Linked DNA regions of Alligator mississippiensis. The protein of the gene in region 1 binds, or shares a complex with, the protein of each later gene. Links are inferred from orthologs where the notes say so. Each region holds a gene or a part of one and is shown on either strand. Other genes may lie near its edges.

Region 1 (6,993 bases):
GCTGTCGAACAGGTCGTGCTGCCACTTCTCGGGGAGCTGCTTGGGCTGCAAGGGGACAGGCGGGCTCAGCGCCCGCGGCCGCGGGGACCCGAGCACCGCCCGGCCCGGCCAGCCAGGCGGCCCCCGCGGCCCGGCCGCCCCCCGCCCCGCCCCCGCGTACCCGGCTGTAGGGCGCGGGCCGGTTCCTGCCGCCGCCGCGGGCCATGAGCGGCCGGTTCCGCAGGGGGCCGCCGCCGGCCCGCCCGGCCCCCAGGCCGCCCCGGCCGGGGCCCCCCCCGCGGGCCGCGCCGCCCCGGCCCCGGCCCCCGCGGCCGCCGGCGCGCCCGGCCCCGCGCTGGCTGCGGTTCAGCTTGATGATGTCGTCCAGGGACATGTCCATCTTGTCGGCCATGATGGCGGCTCCGCTCCGGGCCTGCACTTCCGGCCGCGCTGCGCCCACGCCGGAAGCGGAAGGGGCGGGGCGAGGGCGAAGGCCGCCCGCGCGGGGCTTTATGGGGCCGCCACTTCCGGGGACGGTGCGCGCGCGGGGGAGAGCACGTGAGCGGGGCGGGGCCGCCACCGCCCGTCTCCTCCGCCCCGCGGGTACTGGGGGCAGGTGTAGCCCCAGGGGGGGCTGTGGGGGGCAGATGTGACCACGGGGGGGGGCAGCACGTGGTCGCGGGGGGTGTTGAGGGGGCAGATGTGACCGGGGGGGGCAGCACATGGTCGCGGGGGGTGTTGAGGGGGCAGATGTGACGGGGGGGGCAGCATGTGGTCGCGGGGGTGTTGAGGGGGGCAGATAAAGTCCGGGGGGGGGGCAGCACGTGGTTGAGGGGGGCAGATGTGATGGGGGCAGCACGTGGTTGCGGGGGGGTGTTGAGGGGGCAGATAAAGTCCGGGGGGGGGGGGGGGCAGCATGTGGTTGAGGGGGGCAGATGTGACGGGGGGGGGCAGATAAAGTCCCGGAGGGGGGGCAGCACATGGTTGAGGGGGGCAGATGTGACGGGGGGGGGGGGCAGCACGTGGTCGCGGGGGGTGTTGGGGGCAGATGTGACGGGGGGGCAGCATGTGGTCACGGGGGGTGTTGGGGGGCAGATGTGACTGGGGGGGCAGCACATGGTCGCGGGGGGTGTTGAGGGGGCAGATGTGACCGGGGGGGGGGGGGGGCAGCACGTGGTCGCGGGGGGGTGTTGAGGGGGCAGATGTGACGGGGGGGGGCAGCACATGATCACGGGGGTGTTGAGGGGGCAGATGTGACGGGGGGGCAGCATGTGGTCGCGGGGGTGTTGAGGGGGGCAGATAAAGTCCGGGGGGGGGGGCAGCATGTGGTTGAGGGGGGCAGATGTGACGGGGGGGGGGGCAGATAAAGTCCCGGGGGGGGGCAGCACATGGTTGAGGGGGGCAGATGTGACGGGGGGGGCAGCACGTGGTCGCGGGGGGTGTTGGGGGCAGATGTGACGGGGGGGCAGCATGTGGTCACGGGGGGTGTTGAGGGGGGCAGATAAAGTCGGGGGGCAGCACGTGGTTGAGGGGGGCAGATGTGATGGGGGGGCAGCACGTGGTTGCAGGGGGTGTTGGGGCAGATAAAGTCGGGGGGGGCAGCATGTGGTGGGGGGGGGGCAGATAAAGTCCCGGGGGGGGCAGCACGTGGTTGAGGGGGGCAGATGTGATGGGGGGGCAGCACGTGGTTGCAGGGGGTGTTGGGGCAGATAAAGTCGGGGGGGGCAGCATGTGGTGGGGGGGCAGATAAAGTCCCGGGGGGGGGGGGCAGCACATGGTTGAGGGGGGCAGATGTGACGGGGGGGGGCAGCACGTGGTCGCGGGGGGTGTTGGGGGCAGATGTGACGGGGGGGGCAGCATGTGGTCACGGGGGGTGTTGGGGGGCAGATGTGACTGGGGGGGCAGCACATGGTCGCGGGGGGTGTTGAGGGGGCAGATGTGACCGGGGGGGGGGGGGGGCAGCACGTGGTCGCGGGGGGTGTTGGGGCAGATGTGACGGGGGGGGGCAGCACATGATCACGGGGGGTGTTGAGGGGGCAGATGTGACGGGGGGGGCAGCATGTGGTCACGGGGGTGTTGAGGGGGGCAGATAAAGTCCGGGGGGGGGGCAGCACGTGGTTGAGGGGGGCAGATGTGATGGGGGGGGCAGCACGTGGTTGCGGGGGGGTGTTGAGGGGGCAGATAAAGTCCGGGGGGGGGGCAGCATGTGGTTGAGGGGGGCAGATGTGACGGGGGGGGGGCAGATAAAGTCCCGGGGGGGGGGCAGCACATGGTTGAGGGGGGCAGATGTGACGGGGGGGGCAGCACGTGGTCGCGGGGGGTGTTGGGGGCAGATGTGACGGGGAGGCAGCATGTGGTCACGGGGGGTGTTGAGGGGGGCAGATAAAGTCGGGGGGCAGCACGTGGTTGAGGGGGGCAGATGTGATGGGGGGGCAGCACGTGGTTGCAGGGGGTGTTGGGGCAGATAAAGTCGGGGGGGGCAGCATGTGGTGGGGGGGGGCAGATAAAGTCCCGGGGGGGGCAGCACGTGGTTGAGGGGGGCAGATGTGATGGGGGGGCAGCACGTGGTTGCAGGGGGTGTTGGGGCAGATAAAGTCGGGGGGGGCAGCATGTGGTGGGGGGGCAGATAAAGTCCCGGGGGGGGGGGCAGCACATGGTTGAGGGGGGCAGATGTGACGGGGGGGGGCAGCACGTGGTCGCGGGGGGTGTTGAGGGGGCAGATATGACAGGGGGGGCAGCACATGGTCGCGGGGGGTGTTGGGGGCAGATAAAGTCCGGGGGGGGGGGCAGCACGTGGTTGAGGGGGGCAGATGTGACCGGGGGGCAGCACGTGGTGGCGGTGCCTGAGCTGGGCCCTGACCCCGTGCCGCCCCTGCCAGGCGCCCGGGAGCCGGCCGTGCACGGCGCCATGAAGGTGAAGATCAAGAGCTGGAACGGGGTGGCGTCCTGGCTGTGGGTGGCCAATGACGAGAACTGCGGCATCTGCCGCATGGCCTTCAACGGCTGCTGCCCGGACTGTGAGTCGCCGCTCCCCGGCCCCTGCCCCCAAGCGCTCGCTCCCTGCTGACCGCTGTCCTTGCCTCCTAGGTAAGGTGCCCGGCGATGACTGCCCCTTGGTGTGGGGCCAGTGCTCGCACTGCTTCCACATGCACTGCATCCTCAAGTGGCTGAACTCGCAGCAGGTGCAGCAGCACTGCCCCATGTGCCGGCAGGAGTGGAAGTTCAAGGAGTGACGGCGCCCTGGGCTGCAGTTCGGCCTCCGGGTTCCCTCTCCCTGCGGCCTGGAGCAGCAAAGCGTTGGTGTGGCATCGCGCGTGTGCCAGGCACTCGCAGGGACACCAAGCAGGCGCAGGCCAGGCCCCAACACACTCTGACTTCCCGCAGACGCAGAGCAGCTCCCGGCTGCCGTGAGCAGTGCGGATGTGGCTACATGTCTAACATGTTCCCAACGTTCGTGCGAGGACCCCAACCGTGGCAGTCGCATCCACACAGCACCTCTTCCCTCCGTGCAGCCCGAGCTGGTCGGCTTTTCCTCTGCCCTGTGCCTTGTGCCTACAGGGTCTGTGCAGCCCCCATTCACCTGGGTGAAAGGGCAGCAGGACAAGGTGGATCCCATATTGCCCTTCCCGTGGCAGCCATCAGTGTCTCCACGAATATGTGAGTCCTTGTTTGGGCACTGAACATGGACACCCCTGTGCCTGACGTTTTAGGCGCTGCTACTGCTGGCTCAGCTCTGCCCGGACCCAGACAGAAACATCTTGTTCAAACGTGCCAGGAGGCCGAGTGAGTTTAGCTGAACCTGTCCCCTGCCTGTGCCCTGAAAAGCCCTCTAAGGCCTGGCCTGACTCCACCTTTCTCTGGCCTCTGGGAGGGCTCTAGTAGCTGCCTCAGGCTGTTCCTCCTGTGCCTCCATGTGTGGGCATCCCATGTCCTGTTCCCTTGATCAAATGCTCTTGCGTCCTCTCAGCTGCTGAAGGTTTGCTGGTGCTGCTTGTCACTCTGCATCCAAGCAGGCTGCTCCCACATGTTAGCAGCCGTGGGAGGCTGTTGGCTCTGAGCGTTAGCAAGAGCGCCAATGCTGCCATGACCTGGAGGGTCAGGGGCTGCAGGCCGGGCACGCTCCTCAGCAGCAGCATCCTGCGCTCTCTGAGTCTCGGCCGCCGGCCTGATGAGACCTGCTCCTTTCAGGCAGCCTCCAAGCAGCAGCAGCATCGGCTAATTTCCAGCTGCGACGTGTTGGTACGTGGATTGGTTTCAATAAACCCTGGGCTGTGATTCATGGTTCTTGCTGCTCCTTACTGTTGTGGGCCCAGGGGAGCTCTTGTGAAGGCGGCTGCCCACCCACAGACACCGAGGGGGCGACTGAGTCCATGCTGTTGACAAGGACTCTTCCTGGATGTGCAGCCAGGTGGCAGGATGCGACCTGTGGCCCTGCCTTGGCAGTGATGCCCGTCCCCACGCTAGCTGAGCTGACTGCCCACGTCCCGCGAACCACCTGTGCTCCCTGCTTCATCCTTGGCAGTGCCCCAGCTATCCCTGCCAGGCAGACCACCTCCAGCTGCATGATGGAGCCTTGGGGGGGCAGGAGAATAGCGCAGCAGGGACCCCTGTCCTGGGCTGTGGGGCTGACGAGGGGTCCTGTCGCCCAGGGGAGCGATGCTCTTCCATGGGTCCAGCCCCTGGGAGCAGTGAGTACAGGACATTTCAGGGACGAAGGGAGGGGAGGTGAACCAAGGAGCAGGTCTGTGATGAGCCCTAGGGGTGGGGCTCTTCCTGGGTTTGCTGGGAGGGGGCGCTGGGGGCAGGCAGCAGGATGCAGCTACAGAGAATCCTAGAGCCTGGCGCCTAGTCCGGCCCCTGCCTGAGGCAGGATCAGCCCTGTCCAAACCAGGCCAGGCAAACGATCACCTAAACTGCCCTGACACCATCGCACCTGAGCCCCCTCAGAGGAAGCAGGGGGGTGCAGCAGCCATGGTCCTGCTGTCAAAGGGGCTTCATAGATGCTCCAGGGACCCGGGCAGAGACTGTGCCCCGACTGCAGAGGAAGGCAAACCACAGCTGGTAGGGCGGGGAGTCCCGTTGCAAGCCCCTCTAGCCAGGACCTTGCGGGGTTGGTCCCAGCAGGAGCAATGGCACGGGCCAGCCCCGGCTGCAGCAGGACCCAGCGCCTCGGGGAGGCTTGAAGGTGCCCTGACGCCCTATCAAAGCCCGCGAAGTCCGGCCCAGGCCCGTGCACCCCTCCGCGGGCCGGTAACCGGCGGGAGGTGCCCCGTCCCGTCCGGGCCCTGCTCCGCCCGTGCCGGGAGCGGGGCTGCCCGCGGGGGCGGGCGCCGCAGCCGGCAGCAGCCCCGGCACGGAGCCGGGCGGGGGGCGGCGGGAGCGGCTCGAGCTGCCCCGTCCCCTCGGGCGCCCCAGCTCCTCCCGAGCGGGCGGGGGGCGGAGGCTGCGGGCCCGCCCCCCGCGCCCGCTATAAGGAGCCGAGACGGGGCGGGAGCCGCCGCTGCTGCCGCCGCTGCACGATGCGCGGAGCCCGGGCGCTGGCGCTGAGCCTGGCGCTGGCCGCGCTGCTGGCCGGCCCGGCCGGCGCGTGGTACAAGCAGGCGGCCGGCCCAAACTACTACTCCGTGGGCCGCGCCTCGGGGCTGCTGTCCGGCATCCGCCGCTCGCCCTACAGCCGCCGCGCCGAGCCCGAGCCCGAGCCGGAGGCGGAGGCTGGGCCGGGGCCGGGGCCGGAGGGCGGCCCCGCGCTGCTGCTGCCCGACCTGCCGGGCGCCGCGCCCCGCCCGCCCGCCGCGCTGCGCGCCATGGTGAGTGCCCGGACGGGGCGGGCGGCGGCGGGCGGGCGGCTCCGCGCTCACGGCGGCTCTCCCCGCAGGCGCTGTGCGTGAAGGACGTGGCCCCCGAGCTGCGGAGCTGCCAGCTGCTGCCCGGCGCCCCCGGCACGCTGCACTGCAAGGCGGACGTCACCGTGGCGCTGGACCCCGCGGCCTGCGCCTGAGCCCCGCGCCGGACCGCCCGCCCCGCCCGCCGCCGCCGCCCGCCGCACCTCAATAAACGCGCTTGAACCTCCCGTGTGCTCGCGCCGTCGCTCGGGCGGGGAGCGGGCTGGGAGGGGGGCCGGGCCGGGCCGGGCCGGGCCAGGACGGGGAGCTGGGGAAGCCCCCCCAACCCCGCCGGCGGCCCCGGTGCGCTCCGCCGGGAGGCCCCAGCCCCGTGCCCGCTCCGGGTGCGGTGAGCGGCGGCAGAGCCCCGCCAGACCCGTCGTCCCGCAGAGCCCGGCCGCTGCGCGCTCCCCCGCCGGCCGCCCGGGCCCGGACAGCGCCCACCCGGGCGGAGGCGGCGCGCCGAGACCCGGGCCGAGCCCACCGGCTCGGGGTCGGTGCCCCCGGCTGCCGCACGGACGCGGAGCCCGGACGGGCCGCACCGGGCAGCGGCGGAAGAGCCCAGAGCGGCAACGGGCGGCCCCGAGCCGCGGGTCGCCGGCTGAGCCGGGAGCGGGGAGTCCCCCCCCGGGCCCCGGAGCGCCAGGCGGCCCAGCGCGGGAGGCAGGGACCAGCTCGCAGCCGCAGCCCCGCGTTAGTGCCGGGTGCCGGCGGCGCCGGGGATGGAGCCGAGCCCGGGCAGGCGGCCGCCGCCCCGCCCCGGCCAGCACCCGCGGGCCACTGCCCCTGCCCCCGCCCCGGGCCGCTGGGCGGGAGGGCGGGCGGCTCCGGGCGTCCTGGGCCCGCTCCGCGGGACGCCCCGTCGGGCCGCGCTGCCGGCTGGGCGGGGCCGCACCGGGGGAGCCCGGCGAAGCGGGGCGAGGGGCCCGGGCCGTGGCGGGAGAGGCAGCACCGGGAACTTACCCGCAGGCGCGGCTGCAACTCGGGGCCCGCGGCTCCCCCGCCGGCCGTCCTGCCCGCTGGCCCCGCTCCTGCTGCACCCGCCGGCGGGGCCCGGGCTGCTGGCGCGAGGTCCTCGGGGCCGGGCCTGGGGAGGGGCAGGACTCCCGAGCGCGCCGCCGGCCAGCCGCCC
Region 2 (7,315 bases), on another chromosome or scaffold:
CAAAATTTTCAGTTCTCATTTTCAGGAACACCTTTTGAAATCCATCACGTCCTGAAAAGTCACCAGCTGCTGACAGGTACCACCAACTGTCTGCAGTGGAATATGACCCCCTCTCTCACCTGTTTAAGTTTCAAGGCAGCTTGGACAGAAGGTCTATTCTCCATCTGCTGGGCCAGTCTTCTGTTTCTGGCACTGGCTAGCTGCTGCTGCTGCTGCATGGTTGCCCGAATATTCACCGGCATCGGCTGTTTGTTCTTCAGCATATTAGTAAAGCTTCAAGGTCGAACAAAATGGGTGTTTAAATAAAGTTTTAATAAAAACAATTATTGGCATTTCATGGCTCTCAAGACTGGATCGCCAGATCCCATGACCTTAAGTAAGAAGTGGTACACTCAGATCATGTCATATGCGAGTTACGTATCCTTGTTTTCCATAAACGTGCAAGAATCGGAAACTTAGATATGGATAAAGTGCAGCACATTAATTTAAAAGTGATAAAGTTACTGCTTTTAAAGGTGGAAGAAGGTATGAAAAAAAACAAGCAACAAGCAGTGATGACCATGAAAGATGGGAGAAGACATTACAAAGAAACAGCAAAGCCCACTAAAGTCTGACTGCAAAGCCAAGACAACTGGTTTGGGGGAGGAGGGAGGAAGAAGGGGAGAAAACTGACTTGTTTAACTGGACGTCTCTCGTAAGTAGAGCTGGTGCTGTCACCTTGACACCAGAAAAGCAAACCTTGGGGACAACGCTTTTAAGGATGCCAGATGCCGCTATCTGAATATATTAGTTTATAGTAGGATTGCTTTTGCATTCAGGATTCATAGATGTTAGGGTCGGAAGGGACCTCAATAGATCATTGAGTCCGACCCCAGGATATTCTCTGGCATATTAAGGATCTTCCACCTTTAAAAATTATACAGGAGGGTACATACTGCCAGGAAGTAAGCTTCCTTATCAGTATGAGGTCAGGTTTCTATGGTGTTCAGAGAGCTCTACAAGATGATGAAGTTAAAACTTTACAGAATTATGGATATGGACTAGCCCAGCCACCACAGGCAGGCAGGCATGGCGCCAACTTTCTGGCTAGCCAGCCCCAAGCACTGGCCCAGATTACGTCTCACGCAGTGCTTGCTAGAACAGGAGCTGCATAAAAAATGACTTCATTTCTCCTTGGCTTAATGATATTAACACTTAATCCAAGAGTGATTTAGTAAGGAAGTGAAATGCGATTGGGAGCTTCGCTGTTAGTTCATCATATTATATTATATTGGCGAAAGCTTCATGGCAGACAGAGAGAGAGAGAGAGAGAGCAGCAGAGTATTGAACAGAGGAAATAAGAAAGCAGAGCCAAGAAATGAGAGAGATGGAGATGAAGCGAAGCGTTTGCCTCTTACAAGGTCCAAGAACATTGTTAAAGGGCCTTTGGGCTGGTTTTGTGGCCTGCTGCATGCCTCTTACAGGTGACACCACACGCGTGTCCACCTCGGACAAAGCAGCAAGCCTCCTGCAGCTCCGGTAACATGCTACCATGCTGCAGCGTCAACTATATAATGTAAAAACATGTGGAAGAAAAAGGGAGTGTGCGAGGTTTCTTTGTACAACACAGCCCACCATAGTTATGTCTCAAATTATTAACAGTTACTGACACAAGCCTCCGAAATAACTGCCCTTTTAACCTCGTGTACCACATGTGTCGAGACTTAAGACAGAGGTGCATAGCCATTACTTGTTTTTAGTTAGGTTAAAACAGGGCAGAAACCACGCTGGTTTTTGACACTGGACACAGTGACAAATTAAGTACAAATTTCTTATGAGCTGAAGTTGCTGTTGGCTTCCTCACCGCTCGTTCAGAGACATCTTGGTGGTGCTCTTTAGCACAACCTTTGGCGCCGACTGCGCAGCCATCTTCGGGGTGAGAGAATCTGGAAAGCAACGAGGGGCAGATTTAGCAGCAAGACGCAAGACCACGCGCTTGTTTCGCTACATACCTCGCCGCACGGCCACAGCCCCTTTTGCGGAGACAGCCACGAGCCCAAGAAGGGCTGGCACGAGGACGTGACAAAAACCACCCGAACGACTCGCGCTTCGCAATGCTAGAAACGCGCGTCGCCTCCTCTCAACACGCGGCCTTGCTCCCCGTAACGGATGGAGAGACTCACGATGCAGCCGATTAGCGGCACGCTTCAGCACCAGCCACGATCGTGCCCACGCGCCTGACTAACCACCGAACCCCCCACAGGCATGCGGCGGTTCCTGGATGGACGGCTGCGTCCAGGCACCGCTCCTCCATCTTCACAGGGCCGGAGGAGCCCAACGCGCCCCGTTTCAGCGCGCTCGGTGCCGCATTTCCCCTACTCGGAGACGATCTGTCTCCTAAGGCGGCTGCGGCCTGACCCGAGGTCAACTCCCACACCGGCACGTCGGGAAGACGCACGCAGCTCAGGGATTGCTGAGTCCGCCAGGTCTGAGGCAGACGGCACCTGCCAGGAGGCTCCTAAACCCGCCCGGCTGCCCCGACGGGGATCACAGCATTTACCGCTTGGACGAGTTCAGGCCTCACGAAGACGCCATCTGGCCCCGGCCCCGGGCAGGGAAGCCGGCTGCGGTCGGCGATAATCTGCAGGCTCGGCTTCCCGCGGAGCCAACCCCTCCCCCTCCAGGCGCTCGGGCCCAGCCCGCCATGGCGGGAACGGGCGCGCGGCCCGGCCCAGCCCGGCTTCTCCAGAGCTGGACACGGCGCCCCGCCGCCCCCGACAGCCCGCGCCGCAGGCCAATGGCGGCCTCCTGAGCCCTCCCGCGTGGCGCCCCGCCGCTCTCACCGAAGGAGCCGGTGGTCAGGCCTCCGGGCCGCGCTGGGGCAGGAAGCCGGGGCTGGGCTGGGCTGGGCTGGGCTGAGCAGGGCGGAGTGGGTGAGTATTTGCGGGCGGCTCCCCTCCGCCCGCTCCGGCGCCCGAGGTAAAATGGCCGCCACCGCCTCACGCTCACTGCCCCTCCCCCGCCCGCTCACCGCGTCGAGCCGGGCAAAATGGCGGCCGGAAGCCACAACGCGCAGGCGCCGTCCAGGCACCACGTGATGCTCCCCGGCGGGAGCCTCGGAAGCTGGAGTGCGCAGGTGCCGCCGGAGCGCCGCGACACGTGACACTCCCTGGCGGGAGCCTCACGGGCCGCACTGCGCAGGCGCCGCCCGGGCAGAACGTGACGCTATCCCTATGGCAAGAATTCCTAGTTTTGTGTAGGGGTGTAGGTTGTACACACGCGATCCCCACAGCACGTGACGTGCCCTCGCGGGAAGCCCCCTGAGGCACGAGACAGCTTCCCCCGCCACGTGACACTGTCCTAGAACACACGACATACTGGCGGGGAGCCCCTGACACACGTGACCGCCTTCCTTCCTCCCCTACCATGTGACGTCTGGGGGGGTGCAGAGGGAGGTGGGAATAGGCGGGGCTAAAGGAAAGTGGGCGGGGCCAGGGGAACGGGAGAGGTCTCTGAGGAATGGGCGGGGCTAAAGGAAACAGGTCGGGCCAGGAGAACGGGAGGGGTGTCTAGGGGAATGGGCGGGACTAAAGAGAAACGGGCGCGCCCGAGGAATGGGCGGGGCCAGAGGAAGGGGCGGGGCGGTGTTATCTTCTTTGAAAACAGGTGGGGGTAGGGAATGGGCGGGCGTAGGGGGAAACGGGTGGGGCCAGGAGAATGGAAGGGGTGTGTAGGGGGAATGGGCGGGGCTAAACGGAGATATGCGGGCCCGGGAATGGGCGGGGCTATGAAAATTGGAGGGGTCTCAGGCAAGGGGCGGGGCCTGGGGCGGGGTTGCGGGGCTAGGGCCTGCTGTGGCTCCGTGGTGTGAGGTCCGTCTACCTGGGGGAGACCCCGGCATTGGGCCCTAGCCTGGCTGTGGCCCAGGCAGCTGCCCCCAAGCCCATGCTCTCCTCCCTGCTGGGGCAATTCCCTCCTCTGGGAGGGGGCAGGCGGGGGGCAGTGAGGGACAGGGAAGGGTCTGGCCCCAGCTCTCCCCACTCACCTCAGACCTGCCCTGGGCCCAGCCCTGCTCCCATCAGCTCTGCTCTGCCCCAGCCTGGCCCTGGGGATTGGTGACCCTCTTTCATCTCTCACCCTTTTAAATGTCTTTTGTTTGCCTGGGAAGGATGTGTGCGTCCAAACAACACCTTTTTTTGCAACTCTTTAGTTGCTCTAATAAAAGATGTTGCCAAAGACTTCGCCTCTGTGCGCTGCCGGGCGCTTTGGCCTCCTCCCAGCCCGTGGTGCAGGTTGCTGCGCGGTGCCAATGCCTGAGCCCAGCCCAGCAGAGGGCACTCCCGACATGAGTGCGGTGCCGCTCAGCCCCAACCAGGAGGAGGCTGTTTATTCCCCGCTGGCTCCTTCCCACTGGGACGGGAAATAGGAACGAGTTCTTCCAGCCAGCGCTGGGGTGCGGCACCTGCTCCCGGCCTGAGACTGCAGTCGGCTAGGCGTCAGGTGCCCATGCTCCCACCCTTGCAGTATCTCACATTCAATCAAACGGTTTTTCCTGTGGATGAGGATGGCCCTGGGCTGACCCCCAGGATTGGTGCAGCCCAGGCAGGTGCCCACTGTGGTGCAGCATGACCATACATGGCACCTCCAGCCCCTGCTCCCTCCCCGGGGTCCCCGTGCCCCCTCCCTGGCGCACGGGAAGGGACGTGACGCAGTGGCTGGTCGGAGGCTTTAATGCACGGCTCTGCGTAGCAGGGTCTAGGCTGGCTCTGAGCCGGGAAGCTGGGGGCTGTGGGGATGGGGCAGCGAGTGCGACTCCCACGGGGCTCTGGGGCCTGGCCCTGGGCTCAAGAGTCATCCCAGAAGAAAGTGTTGCAGGCCACGGTGAGGGCAGCCACCAGCACCACGTACTCCTGGAAATCCACCTCGCCATCCCTGTCCTCATCCAGGTCCTGCATGATCTTGTCCATGGCACTCGTGTCCTTCTGCACCTGTGGCAGGGACACCCCCAGGCCGGGTTAGGGATGCCCACCCACCCCCGTGCCCTGCAGCCCATGGCAGGGGAACCCCAGGTCTTGTCCCTGACTCCCCCGTCCCCCCTGCTCTGCCCCGCGAGCTCCTGGCTGCCCTGGGAGCAGCCCCCACCTCCAGGAAGCTGCTGAGCTCGCCCTGCAGCAGGTCCTTCAGCTCCTTCTTGCTCAGCTTGTACTTGTCGCCCTCCTTGCCCGAGTACTTGTGGAAGATGGTGATCAGTGTCATCATGGCGCTTTCCAGCTGCGACTCCATCCTGCTGGCCTGGAGAGGCGCCCGAAGGGTTAAGGGGGCAGACTTTGTGGGTCTCCCAGGGGCGCTACGCTCCCCCCCTCGTGCTGCGGCTGTGGCCATGGGTCCCCTCCAGGCCACCAAGCAGCTCCTTCCCTCCTTGCCTTGGGGTAACCAGGGGCCTCATTCTGCCCTGGGGGGCAGCTGGGTGCCTGAGACTCAGGGTGCTTTGCACTGGGGTGCATGCAGCTGTGGCCGCGGGCAGGATCAGGGCCCCCCAGGGAGAGTGCAGCAGCCAGGTCTGAGCTCCTTGCTGCTCTGTCTCATCCCAGGGGCCCTGAGGAAGCGTCCCCTGGCCCCTGTACCCCATACCCCTGCTCCCCACTGCCCATCAGCTCTGGCTGGGCCCTCACCTGGGCTCTCCCTGGGCTGCACCCTGGCCCCTGGGCTCACCTGGGCTCCCTGCACCTGGGCTGCCTGCACAGCCACCTGCTCCGACAGCCGCGAATGAGCAATGTGGCTGGTCAGTGACTTTAAGTACATCAGCCCGAGCCCCCCTTCCCTGCGGGAGGATCTGATACCCGCGGTGAGACGGGCTGGCTGGCACTGCTGGCTGCGATCACCTGATTTAAAGGGACATAAATGCCCTGGGGGGCCCGTTAGTCCCCGTTGGGGCTGGTGAAGCACACGGTGCTTGCTGCCTGCATGCTTGTACCCTGTGCACATGCACATGCCCTTGTCTCTCACCCCCGGAGATGCCTCTGCACCCCCAGCTCTACTGGACGGGGGTCACTGGCATCTCCATGCGTGGAAACCCCCCCCGGCTCGGCAGCACTGTGGCCTTGTGGGGTGTGGACTCTGCACCATGCCGTGGCTAGGGTACGGGAGTCACTGCTGGTGCCAGGCCAGGACCCCCATGCCCACCACTGTCCCCTCGATGCTGGGATGGGGTGCAGACCCCAGGACCATGTCCCAGCCGGCACCAGACTGAGGGCTGGGCACACTCAGGGCACTCTGAGCCGTGCCAGACCCAGCCGGATGGGCTGTAATGCACCCGGCGAGCTGATAAGGCTCGTGCGATCGAGTGTCTCCCGCTGGACAAAGGGAGGTGGCCAGGGGGGCCCTATCGGGTGACGCATCCGAGCCCCCCCTGGCCGCCAGGCCTGTTGCGGCGCGGCCACAGAAAGGCCCCTTGTCCTGCTGAAGAATCGCTCGGTGAAAGGTTGCTGCGGTAACGCCGGAGCCGGGAAACTGGATTCCCAGGCTGGCCCGGGCTGATAAAGCCAGCGTGGTGCAGCTCCGGTTACGGCAGGGGGGCATGGCGGGGCTGCCAGCCGCACCGCATTGTGCTGCTGGATCAGCTGGTCCCGCTGGCTCCTCTCGGCCCCGCTCCCCGCCCCGCTGTGCTTGGCTGGGGGCACCGGGTGGGACCCCTGGGCCGGGGGCTGGGCAGGGGGCACTGATGGCCCCCGGCTGCAGGGAGCTAGAGGAGGGCCTGGAGCTGGGAGCGGGCTGGGGGGCCCTGCCTGGCTGTGCCCCGGTACCCCCTCCCAGCCCCGATCCTGGTCTCGATTCCAGAGCTTTGCGCAAGAGCCCGGGCGTGGCTCCACTGTTGTCCCAGATGCCGATTCAGGTGCTCATCGGGGTGCTTGTTCCAATGTCGCGGGCGGCATCTGGCCTCACTTCCGCTGCCCGGCCACTGTACAATGTGCCCTGCCCCACCCCAGAGGCAGCTGCCATTTCTGCTCCCGGGGCTGTGCTGAGCCTCGCTGGACCTCAGCGCCGGGTCCCCGGGGGTCCAGCCCCAGCAGAATCGGGTGACGCAAGGCTTCCTGTCTGCCTGCCCGGGGCCTGTCCTTGTGACTATCACACCAAGGGCAGCTGCTAGGCCCCGGGCCCTGACAATGAGTCACCAGCGCTAATCCTGGCTGCAGAGGCCCCTGGGGCACCCCTGGGAGCAGCCGGGTGCGGGGTGGGGCACCACTGAGAGAGGGCAGGGGGTGCAAGTGGAGGCCTCATGATGGCTTCAACGCCAGGCAGGATGTGGCCCCGAGTCTGCAGCTTGCCCAGCCCCCAG
Region 3 (7,856 bases), on another chromosome or scaffold:
AAACCAACCAAACCCAAGGGCTTGTTTGGCCTTGAGGAACCTAGAACCCAACTGTCTTGGTCTTGGGAGCCACCAAAGAACCTGATAGACCTAGAACTCACCCACCCTGGGTTTGTTGGGTCTTGAGGAACCTAGAACCCAACCCCTCTGATCTTGGTAGCAACCAAAGGCCACTAGGCCTGGATTGACCTAGAACCCACCCTGTGGTTGTGAAACTTAGAACCCAATGCCCTTGATCTGGGTAGCAGCCAAAGGGCATCAGCCTTCATGGACCTAGAACATATGCCTTATGGGGGTTAAACAGAGATTATCTGGGAAACCATTAGCCTTCAGGAACCTAGAACCCACCTGTCCTGAGGTTGAACACAGGTGACTTGATGTCTGTTGGGACTGGAGAACCTAGAACCCACTCCCTTTTGTCTCGGTAGCCATCAAAAAGTCATTATGCCTTGACCTACAACCCACCCATTCTGGGGTGGAATACAGGTTACTTGGGGTCTGGTGCCCTGAAGGAACCTAGAACCCACCCCCTCTACCTTGACCCTCCCCATAGGCTGAATCATTGAGGGCAGAGGCGGAGGAGCTGCGTGGGGCAAACCGACGGCTCCGGCGCCGAATCCGGGCTGTCTCCGAGGAGCTGCAGTTCCAGTCAGCCGATAATGGCGTCTCCCTGAAGGCCGAGCTGGAGGGGACCCAGGGCCCCGAGCATCCCAAGGTGCAGGGACAAGGCCAAGGGTGGGGTTTGGGACCTAGAACCTGACCACCATTGGGTCTTTTAGCCTTGTGCGACCCAGAACCTTCTGCCCATCGGGTTTTTGGCCAGGAAAGACCTAACATCCTCTCACCATTGGCTCTTTAGGTGTTGATGGAACCCATTTGCCATTGGGCCTTTAGGCCTTGGTGAACCTAGAACCCCCCCAAATTGGGGTTTCTGAGTCTTGAAGAGCCTAGAACCCGTCAAGGATTGAGTTTTCTAAGCTTTGAGGGACCTAGAACCCACCCACCGCTGGGTCCTTTAGCCTCAAGGGACCTAGAACACTCCCACCATTGGGCCTTTAGGCTTTGAGGGACCTAGAACCCACCTACCCAGAGTCACCTGGCCTTGATGTACCTAGAACCCACCCAGCCAACCTTGTCCTTTGGCTCAGCCAATGTTGGGAGGGTTTTGGCCTCCATCAGGCCAATCCCACGAGGCCGCCAGGTTCTAGCCCCGCCCCCTCGCTGTACCCCCACAGGCTCCGGCACGGGACAGGTCTGAGGCGCTGCCCCAGGATGCACTGGAGGAGAAGGAAGTGGAGATCGAGCGGCTCCAAGATGAGGTGGGGGGGGTGTGGGGAAGGTAGGCGGTGTCATGGACATCTGGGTGGGGGGAACAGGGCCAGGAGGGGGAGGGTAAGACTGGCCCTGGCCCCACCCCCGCCCCTGGCTGACTCCACCTCCTCCCGTCCCAGCTGGCTGTGCAGCAGGGGGTGCTGCAGGCGGTACGGGAGGAGCTGGGGGCACAGCGGCGCCTCCTGCAGGAGAGGGACGGGGATGCGGCACTGAGGCAGGCACTGGCCCAACGCAACACTGCCATCGACAGGTCTGGCCCCGCCCCCCACAGACACCTGGTTCTCTGGGGTGGGACTAGTGGTTTGGGAGCCAGACAGCTGGGTTTTCCGTGGTGGGAGCAGGGGGGCTGGGAGCCTGGACACGTGGGTTCTCTGCAGTGCACGTAGGAGAACTAGGGGGTTTGGGAGCCTGGACACCCAGGTTCTTTAGGGTGGGGAGTGCGAGCAGGGGGGGCTGGGAGGCCAGATGCCTGGGTTCTCTGGGAAATGGGGGGGGGGACTAGGGGATTTAGGAGCCCAGACACCTGTGTTCCCCACCCTCTTCGCCTCCCCCACAGGCAGGGGGTGCTGGCGGAGACGCTGGAGCGGGTGACGCGGGAGCGCGATGCCCTGAGCCGCCAGGTCCTGGCTGCCGCCCACCAGAAGTGGGCGCTGTCCCGGGAGCTGGAGGCCTGGCAGGTAAATCGTGCGTGTCCCGCGGGCCTTTCCTGGGGGTCTCAGGGGCACCCGGAGGCCTGGGCTACCTCCCCAGGCAGGAGGGGGGCACCCTTAGGTGGGGCATGGGGAAGGGGGGGCTTGGATGCCTGGGTCCCCACCCACTGTGGCCCCTCCCCCCCAGGACGACATGCAGTTTGTGATTCACCGGCAGCTCCAGGCCCAGTGGCAGCAGGAGGCCGGGGCCCCGCCCCCTGTGCGCCGCGGCAACAGCGCCCCCCATGGCGGCCACTTCCTGTCCTTCTTCCGTCGCAGCTGACAGGCCAGGGAGCCGATAGGAGCCGGGAGCTGGGGCGCTGAAGGTTCACTTCGGCCTAACCCGTGGGCTCACTGCCCTCACTCTAGGCCTGGCTTTGGCCTGCCAGTGCCTCTGGGTCTCTTTCCCATACCAATGTTCTAGGTCCACCATGGGTTCTAGGTCACTCAATGCCCACTCTAGGCCTGGCTTTGGCTTCAGTGCCTGTACGCTAGGCCTGGGTTTGGCCTACCACACTCTCCCTCCCGTAAGCCTCTGGGTCGCATCTCTCTCTTGGTGGCTCACTATGATGTTCTAGGTGTTTCTACCATGGGTTCTAGGTCACTCAAGGCTCACTCTATACTTGGCTTTGGCCTATGTCTCACCTACAAGCCCCTCCCTCTGCTCCTGGGCCGGACGCCTGGGTTCCCTGGGAGGGGAGTGGGGCCTGGGTTCCCTCCCGTGTACATGCTCTGTGCCTCCGTTTCCCTCAATTCAATTAAAACCATCTTTATTCCCAATTTGCGCCCATTTCTCCTCCCCACCCCCCACCCCCAAGGCCTCCGATTGGCTAACATAATTTCCCCCATGCCATGCCCGATGCTGTACATACCCCCCCACCTCCACAGCACTGTCTGGAGGAAGCTCACAGCGCTGTAGCTTTGGGGGTCAAAGCCCCGGCCTGGAGCAGGGCCCAGATGCCGCGGGGGTCCTGGCTGCTGGGGGGGCTCCATAGCACCGCCTCTGTGGTCCTGTGGGGGGGGGGGAGCAGGGCAGCAGATTAGGAGGTTCTGGGGCAGTAAGGGGGGAGAGGGGTAATTAAACCCTCCAGCTGGAGGTAGGTACTCACAGGGCCATGGGGAACTCCCCGTCTAGGATCACAGTCTCCTCTTCCTCCTCCAGGGTGGCATCCTGGGGCCTGGAGTGGGGGGGGAGATGCGGCTGAGTCTGGTGTGTCATGGCCAAGCGTAATGAACAGAGACCTCTTCTCCCAGCCCCGGTATGCGAGATGCAGCTGAGTCTGGGGCGTGATGGCCAAGTGGAATGAATGGGGATCTAGCTCCCCCTCTTCCTCTACAGGATGCAGCTGAGTCTGGGGTGTAACAGCCCAGGAGAACAAACAGAGATCTGCCCTCACTCTAGCTATAGGCTGAGTCGGGCATAACCGCCACGAGGAACAACTAGAGAACTCTTTTCCTAACCCCTCTCCCCCCACTACGTGAGATGCAGCTGCAGCTGGGGTGTGACAGCCAAGTGGAACGAATGGGGATCGAGCTTCCCCTCCTCTTCCTCTTTAGGATGCAAATAAGTCTGGGGTGTAATGGCCCAGGGGAACAAACAGAGATCTCCCCTCACCCAATGGAAATGGGATGCAACTCAGTCTGGGGTGTAACAGCCAAGTGGACAGATAGGAATCTACCACCCCCTCCCCTTTTTGTATAGGATGTGGCTGAGTCTGGGGTGGCATGGCCCAGGGGAACGAATAAAGATCTTCCTTCCCTCACCCTATGTAAATGAGGTGCAGTTGAGTCTGGCGTGAAGCGGCCAAATGGAACAGAGAACTCTTTCCCTGCCCCCCCCTCCCCCCATGACATGCAGCTGAGTCTGGAGACTAACAGCCCAGGTGAATGGAGATCTCCCTTCTCCCTACGTATATGGGATGCGGCTGTGCCTGGGGTGTGACAGCCGAGCGGAACAAAGGGGCATCTCTGTCCTGCCCCGTGCCCCCTTCCCCCCGCCCTGTGATGCAGCTGAGTCTGGGGCAACACCTGGGGGGCCTCTCACCCACGCGGCAGGGGGCGGGGCCAGCGGGACGGGAAGCCGTTGCTGCCGTAGGCGTGGTCGTGGTCCAGGCTGAGGGTGTTGAAGCGAGCGGCCATCTTGTCCTCCGACAGGAAGTGCTTCCGGGTTGGCTCCCTGTGGTGACAAAGGCGGGAGGGCAGGTGAAGGCTCCCAGCATGCTTCGCTCCCGCCTTCCCACAGTGCCTTGCTCCCCCCCATACTCACGGCTCCTGCTTCTCGAGGCGCCGCTTGCAGGCCAGGGCAGCAGGGCGGGGCGTGGGTCGGCGGGGCAGTGCCGCGGCGGAGAAGCTCACCACCACTGGGGCCCGCCCCGCCCAGGGCATGCGGGCGGGGACTTCCTGGCTCCAGCAGCGGGGTTGGGGCAGGGCCGGGGGGTCCATCGGGGGGGCATTACCTGATTGGAGGAGGGAAAAGAGAGTCAGGCCAAGGAACTCCCATCATGCATTGTGGTTGGGGCGCCTCTGGAGCTGAATCATGCCAACTCCTGACTTCCCATGATGCCCTGGGGCCACTCAGGCCAAGCCCAGGCGCTCCCATGAACCCCCGGGGCTGAGCCACACCAACTGGAAGCTTCCCATGATGCCCTGGGGCAGTTCAGACCAAGCCTAAGCCCTCCCATGATCCTCTGGCTGGAGAGAGAATGAAGTGCAGGGGTGCTGAGGACAAAAGGGGTGTGGCCAAGTGACAAGGGGCAGGGCCTACCGCAGAGCACAGAGCGAGCATGCGCAGAACAGTCGGGCAGCAGGTGAAGTTCCGTTCTGCGCGTGCGCAGAGGCGAAGGCAGGTGGTGGAAAAGGAGGGGGAACCACTCCCGCCGGGCTCATGCGCAGAGCCCCGGGACCGTGAGCCTGCTCGCGGGGGGGGATGACAGTTGGGCTCGCGGGAAGTGGCGGGGAGGCGGGGCGCATGCGCACTGGGCACTCGCGGGTCTTATTTCGTGCTGTCGGGGCCTGAAGCCGGGAGGGGTGAGGTGGGGCCTTACCGGGTTCCGTTCCCCACGCTGCGCCTCCAGGGTCCCCCCCTTCTTCCCTTCCTTCTGACGTCAGGGTCGCGCGGCCTGCTGGGAGTAGGCGAAGGGGGAGGGGACCCAATCTGGCGCCGGCGTCGCGCGGATAACGTCATAGAGGCGCGACGCGGCGGCACGCTTATGGCGCCCCAGGAGGTGAGCGACAAAGAGCGTGGGGGCGCCCGGGGCGGCTCCCAGCATGCACCGCGCGGGTCCTGCCAAGCCCTGGGAGGTGTGAACCCAGCATGCACCCTCCCAGCATGCTTTGCTCCCTGTCCTGCCAACCCTGGGGTCTCCCAGCATGCCTTGTGCCCCCCCCATGCCAACCTGAGGCTTTCCCAGCCTCCCTTGCTCCGCACCTGGCCAGCCCGGGCATCTCCCAGCATGCCTAGCTCCCCTCCTCCCTCCCCCGCCTTCCCATCATGCCGTGCTGCCCCCCAGATGGACGTCCAGCGGGCCTTGGAGCTGCTCCACATGAGCGTCTTCTCCCAGAGCGTCTCGCCCTGCGGGAAGTACCTGGCAGCCGGCAACAGCTACGGGGAGATCGGCATCTTCAGGTACCCCAACCTGCCCCCAGCCCGCCCCGCGGGCACGCCCCCCAGCTCCCCTAACTGCCCTGTGCCCCCCCAGCCTGTCGGCGGCGCTGAGCGCGGAGGCCAAAGAGGAGAGCAAGAAGCCGGTGGTGTGTTTCACAGGTGGGTGTGAGGGGAGCGGCTCCCCACAATGCCCCGGGGCTGCTCACGCCAACCCGGCTCCTCCCCACAATGCCCCGGGGCTGCTTGTGCCAACCTGGGCCTTCCCACAATGCCCTGGGCCTGCCCCTCCCGCCCCGCAGCCCACGATGGTCCCGTCTACGCGCTGACCTCCACGGACCGGCAGCTCCTCAGCGCCAGCGACGGGGAACTCAAGGCCTGGAACTGGGCGGAGATCGTTAAGAAGGTAAGCCCCGCCCCTAGCCCCGCCCCTGATGCCCGGGTCCCCTGCGCTTCATCCCCCTCCACGTGTCCCCCCAGGGCTGCAAGGAAGCATGGAGCCGCCGGCCCCCTTATAGGTAAGCCCCACCCCAAGTGGGAGCGGCTTCACATTGGCCAGTGGGAAGAGAGCAAGAGGGCATGGCCTCCCCATGTGGCCACACCCCTTCTTTCCCCACATTTGCTTCCAGGAGTAGCCTGGAGGTGCCTGAAATCAACAGCCTGCAGTTGAACCTCAAGGTGAGTGTGGCCCTGGGCATTGTGGGATAGCCAGGGGGAGGGGCTAGCCTCCAAGCCCCGCCCCCTCCTGCCTGTGTCTCCTCTTCTCCAACAGGATAACAGCCTTCTGCTGGCTGGGGGCGACTGCACCGTGCACGCCATGGACCTGGAGACAGGGGTCTTCACCGTGAGTGGGGGCAGGGCTCTCGGCCATCCGTTCATCCCTCCGTCCATCCCCACAGACCTCCGTCCATCGCTAGGCCTTTCCCTCTTTCTGTGCGCGTGTCTACTGTTGGACTTCTTTGTTCATATCACCATACTTCTCCGTCCATCCATCCTTTCGTCTGTCACTAGAGTCCTGCATCTCCAGACTCATCCATCCCGCACTACACCCTCCCCATTCCATCTACTTGCTTGCCACCCGGCTTCATCCATCCGCCCATCACTGGCCTCCTCCATCTGTTCGCTGTTCGTCCATCCAGTCTGTCACTAGATCTCTCTATTCATTCCTGTCTCCATCCGCTCACCACTAGACTTTTCCATCCATTTCTTCGTGCGTTCATCGCTGGATTTCTCCGTCTGTCCTTCCATCCCTCACTAGACCCTCTCCATCTGTCCACCCATCCGCATATCACCAGACTTCTTCATCCCTCTTTCCTTCTTTCCACCCATCGCTAATCTTGTCTGTTTGTCCGTTCTTCATCTCTCCCCGTATACGTTCGCCTCTACATTTATCTGTCGCTAGATCTCCCCATCCATCCATCCATAGGCTCTCCCATCTGTTTCTTCATCTATCTGTCATTACATTTCTCCACCAATCCATCTGTAACTAGACTCATCCATCCACCCCTAGACCCACCTATCCATCCATCCCTAGATCCCGTCCCGCTCACCCGCTCTCCCCCACCTTCCCAGCATGCCCTGCGGGGCCACACCGACTACATCCACTGCCTGGCACTGAGGGACCAGTTCCACGAGTGCCTCTCGGGCAGCGAGGACGGGTCTGTCCGTCACTGGGGTAAGTCCCGCCCCTTTCCCCACCCCTGCCCCGCCTTTGCTGAGACCCTGCAGGGCTCGTGACACCCACTCCCCACCACCCCGCAGATCTCCGCACCGGGGGGCAGGTACAAGCCATCGAGGTGCACAAGTATGAGGTGAGAACCCAGACATCCGGGCTGCCAGCACCCCTGCTGGGGAACCCAGGTGTCCAGGCTCTGACCTGGCCTTCTCTGCCTCTTCCCCCACCCCCAGGAGTGCAGCCGGCCCCAGTATGGGAAGTGGATCCGTTGCCTGGCGACAGACTCCGATTGGATGGTGAGAGGGCAGGGGAGACCTTTGGAGCGAGGGTATCCCATAGTGCCTTGGGTTTAGCTGTGGTGGCCAAAGCAGGGTATCCCAGAATGCTTTGCTTGCAAGCATGGCTGCCTACAGTGATATACCCTAACAAGGTTGGGCAAGGTACCCCATAACGTCCTAGGACCCAGGCATGGCTGACTGCGGGAATATTCCACAATGCCTTGGGTCCCCATCATGGCTGATCACTGGAATATCCCACAGTGTCTTGCTACCAATCCAGC
Region 4 (7,376 bases), on another chromosome or scaffold:
ACACAGACGAACTGTGCCCGGACTCAGGTCCAAGCGAGAGAGGCAGAGACCTGATCTATCCCATTGAGTGTGTGCTCCCTGCTCCAGAGACAATCCTGGACCCATTTGGCTCCTGCTGGGCAACTTGATCCCCTGCCAGGATGTGGCCCCTTCTCACCTTCTCTTCCCTTTGGGTGGTCCCCGAACAAAGCACCAGTCCACGCTAATGGGCTGCCCCATCAGCTCCTGCCCGTTCAGCCCTTCCATGGCCGCCTGAGCCTCCTTGTAGGTCTCATACTCAACAAGTGTGTATCCCTGCAGGAGGCAAGGACAGTGGCATCAGCACCCAGTCACCCTCACTCCACGCTCACCTTGGCTCCCAGCAGTAGACCCCTGGGCTTCCAATTCCCACAACCCCTCTCCACTTGTTCACCAGTGTCAGGAATACAAGCCTGAAAGGCAAGGCTGCTGCCCTGCCCTGCCCTTCCAGCTATTGCCCTGAACTGAACTGCTCACTTGAACCAGGAGCTTCCCAGAGAGGTGGGGGACAGGGATCCATATTAGTACCCAACCCCTCTTCAAGGCTCTTTCTTAGTATGAAGCCTCCCTAGCACTTCTCTGTGATATGATCCCATCTGGGATTCAGCTGTGAAACCATAGGGATCTCACAGGGATCCCATGAAAGAAGCCAGGAGTCCCTTGCTGTTACCAGCAGCACCCACCGCACCTCAGGCTGAGATCAGAACCCCGGCATCCCTGTGCTCACACACAGTCTCCTCACCCTGCCCAGATCATTTGTATGAAACATTAAGGGGCAGCTGCCCGTTTAAGTGCAGCTTTGGCCTCCGTGTCCGAGGAAGCTGTGCACCTCAAAGGCCCACCGCCCCCACATCATACAGGCAAGAACCTGAAGCACAGAGATTAAACTATGTGGCACAGATACAGAGTCTGTGGCAGGGCAAAGACGTGACCACACCTGTCTAGAGACCCCAGCCAGCCCTCTCCCTACCAGCCCCCTACCTTCAGGTAGCCCGTCCGCCTGTCCAGGTTCAAGTGGATGTTCTTGATCTCGCCATACTCAGCAAATTTGTCGTGAATGTCCTCTTCTGTGGCTTCCTCGTGGACTCCCGTGACGAAGAGAATCCAGCCCTCCACCGCTGCGGGCAAAGGGAAGCAGCGCTCATTACCCAGATGCCTGGTCTGAGAGCCCTAGTGAACTTGCACGTGCACAGCTTCACAGCCACACCAAGGAAGGACATCCCTACTCCCACCACATCTCAGCCTGGGTAGCTTGTAATCTCCTATTGGCCTGAAGACTCTGGAGTGGAGCTATGGGAGGAGGAATGGAGGGGTAGTGAATGCAGGTGCTCGATGCCCCTGGCAACAGCAGTTCTTCATTTACTCCTTAATGAGGATGGCTGCAGAGCAGCAGGAAAAGTTTCTGCCCCCCAGACCCCTGCAATGAACCTGAATCCTAACCTAGAACAATCCCAACACCCCACGAGCACAGACAAGTTGCTCTGTGTGTGGTTGTATCAATGGTGACAGCAGCGATACCTGGCTCTCAGAGAATGCTTCTTATCTTTCACAACTTTACAAGGGAGGAAGCTGAGACACTAGGGTCACAGAACCAGCCAGTGGCAGCACTGCGAATAAAACCCACATCTCAGATTCACAGAAGTTCAGCGCTGAAAGGGACCTTGTGAGATCATCAGGTCTAGCCCCCCTGCTCTGGGCAGAAAAGACTGCTGGGGTAAAATAACCCCAGCAGTCCCTTGGTCCCTATCCAGCATTTTACCCACCGGACCCCACTTCAATGAAAGACTTGGCTCCGCCCTTCCTTAAAGCAACCTCGTGTGACACTTCACCCACCAAAGACCCCAGAACAAATCCCCAGCTGTACTCACATCTCTGAGGCCCCGGCTCGTCCCCGTCCTGCTCCACGCTGTCATAGTCCTCACGCACTCGGGCCCTGGAGCCTTCCTCTGGGCACAGGGGGAGAAAAGCAAAACGTGGATCATTTCAGACAACTAGTGACGGTTTCCTGCGCGACCACCCCACCACCAGACACCCGAGCTTGTAGACACCGGTTTTCAGACACCCTACCCCAAAGAGCCTGTAACAGTAGTGATGCAGACAAACATGTATTCATAGGATCATAGAAAATAAGGGCGGGAAGAGACCTCAGGAGATCACATCTAGTCCAACCCTGAGGTCATCTGATCCCAGCGGTCTTCGCTGCCCACGTGCAGGGGGGCTGGACCCGATCTGTAAGGTCCCTTCCAGCCCCTAACGACCGGGAAACCCCCTGCTCCAAGCAGGACCAAGGGCCGCGGGGCAGACAACCGAGTACCCTGCGCACGTTTGCTGCAGGTAGGGAAGGGTCTGGACAGCCGGACGCGGGAGACAGAGGGATCTGCTCACAGCTGAAAGGCCCCAGGCATCGCAACACCCCCGGCCCCTCCCCCGCTCTGCCCTGCCAGCAACAAGCGGACACCAGTCTGGAGGCTGCACTGGAGGCTCTGGGAGCACTGGGATCCCCGCGCGCAGACGGACAGAGCCGCGGGGGTTGCAGCCACGTCCTTACCTGAGCCGAAGCCTCTGCCTTTGCGCTTCTTGGCCTTCTCCTTCAGCTTGTGGATGCTTTCTGCGGGCAAGACCGGGCGGTCAGCGCGGGGGCCGGAGAGAACCAAACCGAGCCCCGCGGGCAGGAGACCGGGCGGGGCGGGGCGGGGCGGGGCCAGAACCGGCGGGAAAAGGCTTGAAGCGGGACCCAGAACCGGGACTAGGCCAGCCCCAGGCCGGGGGGCGGGGGAGGCCCGATGGGACCCGGAACCGGGGGGGACCGGCCAGAGGGGGGGGGGGGACATCCGGGTCACCCCGCGGTACCGTCACCATCCTCGTCCATGGCGAAGTCCTCGCCGCCCGCCTCGTGCAGATCCAACACGTCCGCCATCTTGCCGCGCTCCGCCGCCACCGCTGCCGACCAGAAGTTGCCCCGGTGCTGCAAGGCATGCCGGGAAGCAGGGCGGAAGTGTCCTCACCCTATGGACAGGAAACCCCTGCTAGGGGCCTCCATCTTGAGAAGGGAATGAGGCAGGGGAGAAGCGTGATGACGCAACGACGCTGCTAGGTGGCGAGCGCCGCCATTTGGAGAAGGGCGTCAGGCTGGCGGCGGGCGCCATCTTGGGGTCTCCATAGCAACCACTCAGGGCCCAGTTTAGGCCTTTTTGTCTCCCTTAGTGGTGGGTTCCCCTCCCTGCCTGAGACAGCCCAGCCACAGGCACGGCAGGGTGCCAGGCTCTGGCTGCACCCCTCAGGACCTGGCCTGCACCCTCCAATGGGGGGGATTAGCCCCTATTAGACAACAAGCTGCCCCCCCTACTGGGGTTGGCCCTAAACATGAGGCTCCTTTAAGAAAGCACCACCTCAGGGGAGCCCCTTGGTGCCCCCAGAGTCCCCTGAGCAAAGGGAGCCCAGCGTTCTAGTGGTGCCCCAAGGCGGCGAGTCTCAGCCGGGCTGGGGGCGCCACATCACCGTTCGCACAGTTAGGCGCGTCCTAGGACACAGCTGGAGATCTCCAATAGGAGGCCTGGGTCTGTCCCCCAATCTTGGATTCACTTGAGGGTTTCTCTGTAGTTGAAAAAACAAGTGAAAGCAGAGACGGCACTTTCTGAGGGGGCTTGGCGTCTAACGAGGGGAGAGGAGAGGATAAGCGCTGGTGAGCCGCCCGGTTCCCCAATGCCCCCGCGGGAGGCAGACGTGACAGTCAGTGCAGACAATTGTGCAAGACGGGACTCAGCCCTGTGACTTTTCCACCGTCGCAGCACAGAGATCTCACTCCTTTCCCCCCAAAGGTGGCAGGAGATCTCTGCGGCCTCTCCAAGCGATGTTTCGTGAAACCAGGCGGGTTCGGCAGGTCTGCATCTCAGCTGGCAGAGACGATGGTTGCAAAGCTCGCTCCTCGCACAACGCTGAGCGAGTGCAATGGGCGTAGCGAGGTGCCCGGACGAGAACAGGTGCCAGGTGGAGAAGCACTGGTCTAAGGGAAGGAAGATGAATCAAGTAATCCAGGCTCCAGGAGCCGGGGCTTGGGGATGGACAAAAACCCACATTGAGGAGGGCAGCACGAAGTTGCCACCCCCTCCCGACACCCAGAAAACAGCACGGTTGGACCGGGATCGAAGAGAGGATCCTTAACATAACTCCGGCAGCTTCTCCCCGTCCAGCGAGGAGGGTTGGCAGTCGTGGTGCTATCAAGGAAAGCTTCCCTTGAACAGGCTGGTCCTGGATGATCCCCCTACACAAGCAGTCTTCCTGGACAGGGATCACCACTACTTGTCGGATCGTAGAAAATGGGGGTTAGACCTCAGGAGGTCACATCTAATCCAACCTCCTGCTCCAAGCAGCTCCATCCCCAGCTAGATCAAGTAGGAAGGTTGTTCCTTCCTCCTTGCCTACCGGTTTCGTTGTAGGGGCACCTGTTTAGTGAGACCCCACAAACCCATTTCACCTGAGCCAGCCAACACTCATCCAAAGACAACATCCTCACCCCTATTTGCTGGGGGTAGAAATCGCCATCTATACTATGGCATCCAGTATGTTACTTTAGCCTTAGTCAGAATGGGTTGGGTTTTTTTTAAGCTCTTTTCCAAATGGAGAAGCATGGAGATCTCGTCGTAGCTATAAAATATGCGGGGGGAACTGCCAAGCGGCAATAATTTCTCAAGGAGCTTATGGATGCCAAGTGGTTTTGGACAGCAACTGCTTTGCGTGCGCAAGATGCTGTGTTTGCTAGTGAAACAGCCCAGTGCCATTCCCCCCCCACTTCAAGATTTTAAAAGAAGTCATGCTAGGTGGAAGAACAAAACTTTATGTTCCTTCTCATTTTATTTTTTGAAAAGGGTGGAAACTGTGTCTCTCACTTGGAGCAGCTCTTCATGTTCTTCTAGTCAGCAGGCAGGCACGTGAAATAGGCATTTCGTCCTGCCCACCCCCGAAAAAGAAGAAAAAAAAGAATGACACCATTTTATTCTGTATAGCGTCTTCTGCACATGTCCTTCCCGCAGGCCTTGGAGCGAAGGAGTTACAGCTAGAGTGTGAAACATGAGGCAAAGTGCAGAGCAGGTATGACCTGAAAAGAAAACAGCTTACACCCCCCCCACCCCCCAATCTGGCTCTTCATAATGCCTTCCAGCCCCCTTTATAAGCAGATGCTGCTACAGCTGTACTCAGTCACCGGTACCCATGAGCACAGCCATCTCCTTTTCCACCACTGCATCCTTATTCCTTCCAAGTCAGGCCAGAATTTCACTCTTCCCCTCTCAGGAGTCTCTGCTGGTTTCCCAAATTCAAGGCAGCAGAATCTCTCACGAGTGCTCTGCTTCTGCCTCAGTTGACAAGATTATTCCTTTATTTCTGTGCCTCAGCTTCCCCACCTTTCCTACAATCTGGGAGATGGTCCGATGGGAGCTACCAGTGCAGGAGCAAGCGTGAACAGCAGGACCAAACTGTTATTTTCAGCTAGCTCCGTGCTCAGCTGAAGAGGATTATAACGGGCTTCCGCTAATGGGAAATTTGGTTCTACAAACATCCGGCCGGTGCAGCTGTTCCTGTTCTTGTCCATTCAAACTGTGTACAGTACGCGACGTCTTCATCTCCCCTTCCGCAACGAAGAGGGAAGAGACCTATTTCTTTCCTTAAAGACCTGCCAGTCAGCATGCTACAAAGCAACTGTTGCCTTCCCCACCTCCAAGAGCTGGTAGCTCCGCTTTTCATAACAGTTTAAGGAGAGACAGCACATTCACCCAAAGGCAATACTGTTATTAGCCTTCCCATGCTGAAAAGCCTTTTAAAAGGAGTATTGGGAGGAACAGTGCAAGATCTGATCCTCACCCTTGCCTCCCCCCCACATTAGTTAAGGCAGCAAGGCAGAATTTGTGCAACATCAGCAGGGCTATGCTGCAAAAGATGGGTCAATAAATCCTGTCTGATATAACCAGATGCTGGGACCAGCAGGGACTAATTTGCAGGCAACTGTGGTAATTCTTAGGGAGAGAAGGGGTGGAGGGAGGCATTGTTCTCAGGTTTGTGATGCATCAAACAGCTAGTTCCCCCAGGAGAGGCCATAAACAGCAGCAGAGAAGCAGCTTAGGGCTGAGTGAGGGTAGCACCACATGGGCAGGTGTTTTCTCCATCAGCACAGGTGGTTTCTCCATTTCAGTTCCCTTTTCAGGTACAGGAAGGCTCCTGCAGGGGTTAGCAAAGAAAAGGCATGCCATCAGCACAGACAGGTTCAGTTCAGGCCAGCCTGCCTAAACCCCGGAGTAACAGACCAGAAACTAAGCAGCTTTTCATACCCGCCATGGCACACCTATATTTCAAGCAGGGAGGTGCCAATTTTGACACCAGCTATCCAGGGGTTTTTGTGAAAGCAACAGACACTCGTACGTTTTGTTACGAGGGATAGCAGCACATCAGAGCCAACAGCACACTGAACAGATCATCAGTCCTGCATCTCTCATTAGGAAAGGAAGAAAAAAGACAAACTACCCAAAAAATCTAGTGTTTTATTGTATAAAAATTATACATACAAAATGCACGTGTTGTACTGAACTTGGACATACAATGGAAGATGTGGTGGCAGTGCGTGAAAGGCAATTTATCTTGCTCTGGTTTTTGATTCAGACTCTATGCTGGGAAAATTGGAAGGGACTTTGGATGCCGAGAGCTAGGCTATTAACAGCACTGGAGCCGTGGGGATCTCCTGGCTGCTGATCCATCCCTTGAGACTCATGAGGTTCCAAGATCTGTTTTAATTAAAACAAGAGGAACAAAGTGTCAGATGCTCATTTATAATGAAGCTGAACTGGTCCTACCCAGGGAATCGTATTTTTGCAAGGAGAAAAAGGGCATGTAGTGTGGTCTGATATCTTCCCCCAGCTGGGAGTGCTGGCACAGGCAGATGCTAAGAGTCTGCCTGATTCAAGCCCTTGCTAAACAAAGACTGAACTAGCATTTGAGTCTCAGAAGAGGGAGTCACAGGCTGTTGAGGAGGCTCTATTTAAAGCCTACTCACACAACTGCCATGAGAGTTCAGTAGCCCATACAAAACTAATGATATCTTACTTGCCCGAGGAAGAGTCACTGCACAGAGGAGAATGCACATGCATTGCTCCATAAACAAGCTACTGTTTGTTGCATTTTTATATGCTGCTTCTACCACAGAGCTGTCTCATTAACGCAACTTGGCCTTTGAGCACAGAAAACTGACTGTTCGAGTGTATTTATTTCAAAAGATGGCCTGACTTCATTTTCACATGGCACCAGGAAGTGGTTACTACTCAGAATATAATCCTGTGCAGCTCCGTATGGCATCAGCTTTCTAGTTTTAGCCA

The links.
Region 2: ALYREF (region 1) and CHTOP share a complex: the UniProt entries of both Homo sapiens proteins name them as parts of the transcription/export (TREX) complex. The link is inferred for Alligator mississippiensis from reciprocal best matches to the Homo sapiens genes ALYREF and CHTOP.
Region 3: ALYREF (region 1) and THOC6 share a complex: the UniProt entries of both Homo sapiens proteins name them as parts of the transcription/export (TREX) complex. The link is inferred for Alligator mississippiensis from reciprocal best matches to the Homo sapiens genes ALYREF and THOC6.
Region 4: ALYREF (region 1) and RBM8A share a complex: the UniProt entries of both Homo sapiens proteins name them as parts of the ALYREF/THOC4-EJC-RNA complex. The link is inferred for Alligator mississippiensis from reciprocal best matches to the Homo sapiens genes ALYREF and RBM8A.

What each region holds. Positions count from the first base shown.
Region 1 is NC_081831.1:482,863-489,855, reverse strand, and holds the start of ALYREF (THO complex subunit 4), read right to left. Parts: upstream 3,006-6,993; 5' UTR 2,971-3,005; coding exon 2,859-2,970; intron 583-2,858; coding exon 161-582; intron 46-160; coding exon 1-45. Other genes in the region: NPB (neuropeptide B), read left to right, coding at 5,499-5,786, 5,855-5,977. UniProt on the Homo sapiens protein: Functions as an mRNA export adapter; component of the transcription/export (TREX) complex which is thought to couple mRNA transcription, processing and nuclear export, and specifically associates with spliced mRNA and not with unspliced pre-mRNA.
Region 2 is NC_081838.1:13,226,112-13,233,426, forward strand, and holds the start of CHTOP (chromatin target of PRMT1 protein), read right to left. Parts: upstream 3,004-7,315; 5' UTR 2,823-3,003; intron 2,629-2,822; exon of another isoform or gene 2,540-2,628; intron 1,926-2,539; 5' UTR 1,909-1,925; coding exon 1,844-1,908; intron 274-1,843; coding exon 120-273; intron 1-119. Other genes in the region: S100A1 (protein S100-A1), read right to left, coding at 4,824-4,967, 5,122-5,271, 5,692-5,781. UniProt on the Homo sapiens protein: Plays an important role in the ligand-dependent activation of estrogen receptor target genes. May play a role in the silencing of fetal globin genes.
Region 3 is NC_081830.1:644,658-652,513, reverse strand, and holds the start of THOC6 (THO complex subunit 6 homolog), read left to right. Parts: upstream 1-4,847; 5' UTR 4,848-4,925; intron 4,926-5,129; 5' UTR 5,130-5,230; coding exon 5,231-5,245; intron 5,246-5,530; coding exon 5,531-5,646; intron 5,647-5,719; coding exon 5,720-5,784; intron 5,785-5,924; coding exon 5,925-6,028; intron 6,029-6,102; coding exon 6,103-6,140; intron 6,141-6,251; coding exon 6,252-6,300; intron 6,301-6,394; coding exon 6,395-6,466; intron 6,467-7,194; coding exon 7,195-7,297; intron 7,298-7,383; coding exon 7,384-7,433; intron 7,434-7,530; coding exon 7,531-7,593; intron 7,594-7,856. Other genes in the region: BICDL2 (BICD family-like cargo adapter 2), read left to right, coding at 554-715, 1,236-1,319, 1,452-1,582, 1,889-2,009, 2,170-2,304; HCFC1R1 (host cell factor C1 regulator 1), read right to left, coding at 2,927-3,032, 3,131-3,199, 4,066-4,197, 4,288-4,463. UniProt on the Homo sapiens protein: Component of the THO subcomplex of the TREX complex which is thought to couple mRNA transcription, processing and nuclear export, and which specifically associates with spliced mRNA and not with unspliced pre-mRNA.
Region 4 is NC_081838.1:17,854,031-17,861,406, reverse strand, and holds the start of RBM8A (RNA-binding protein 8A), read right to left. Parts: upstream 3,003-7,376; 5' UTR 2,936-3,002; coding exon 2,869-2,935; intron 2,627-2,868; coding exon 2,567-2,626; intron 1,965-2,566; coding exon 1,887-1,964; intron 1,137-1,886; coding exon 1,000-1,136; intron 295-999; coding exon 158-294; intron 1-157.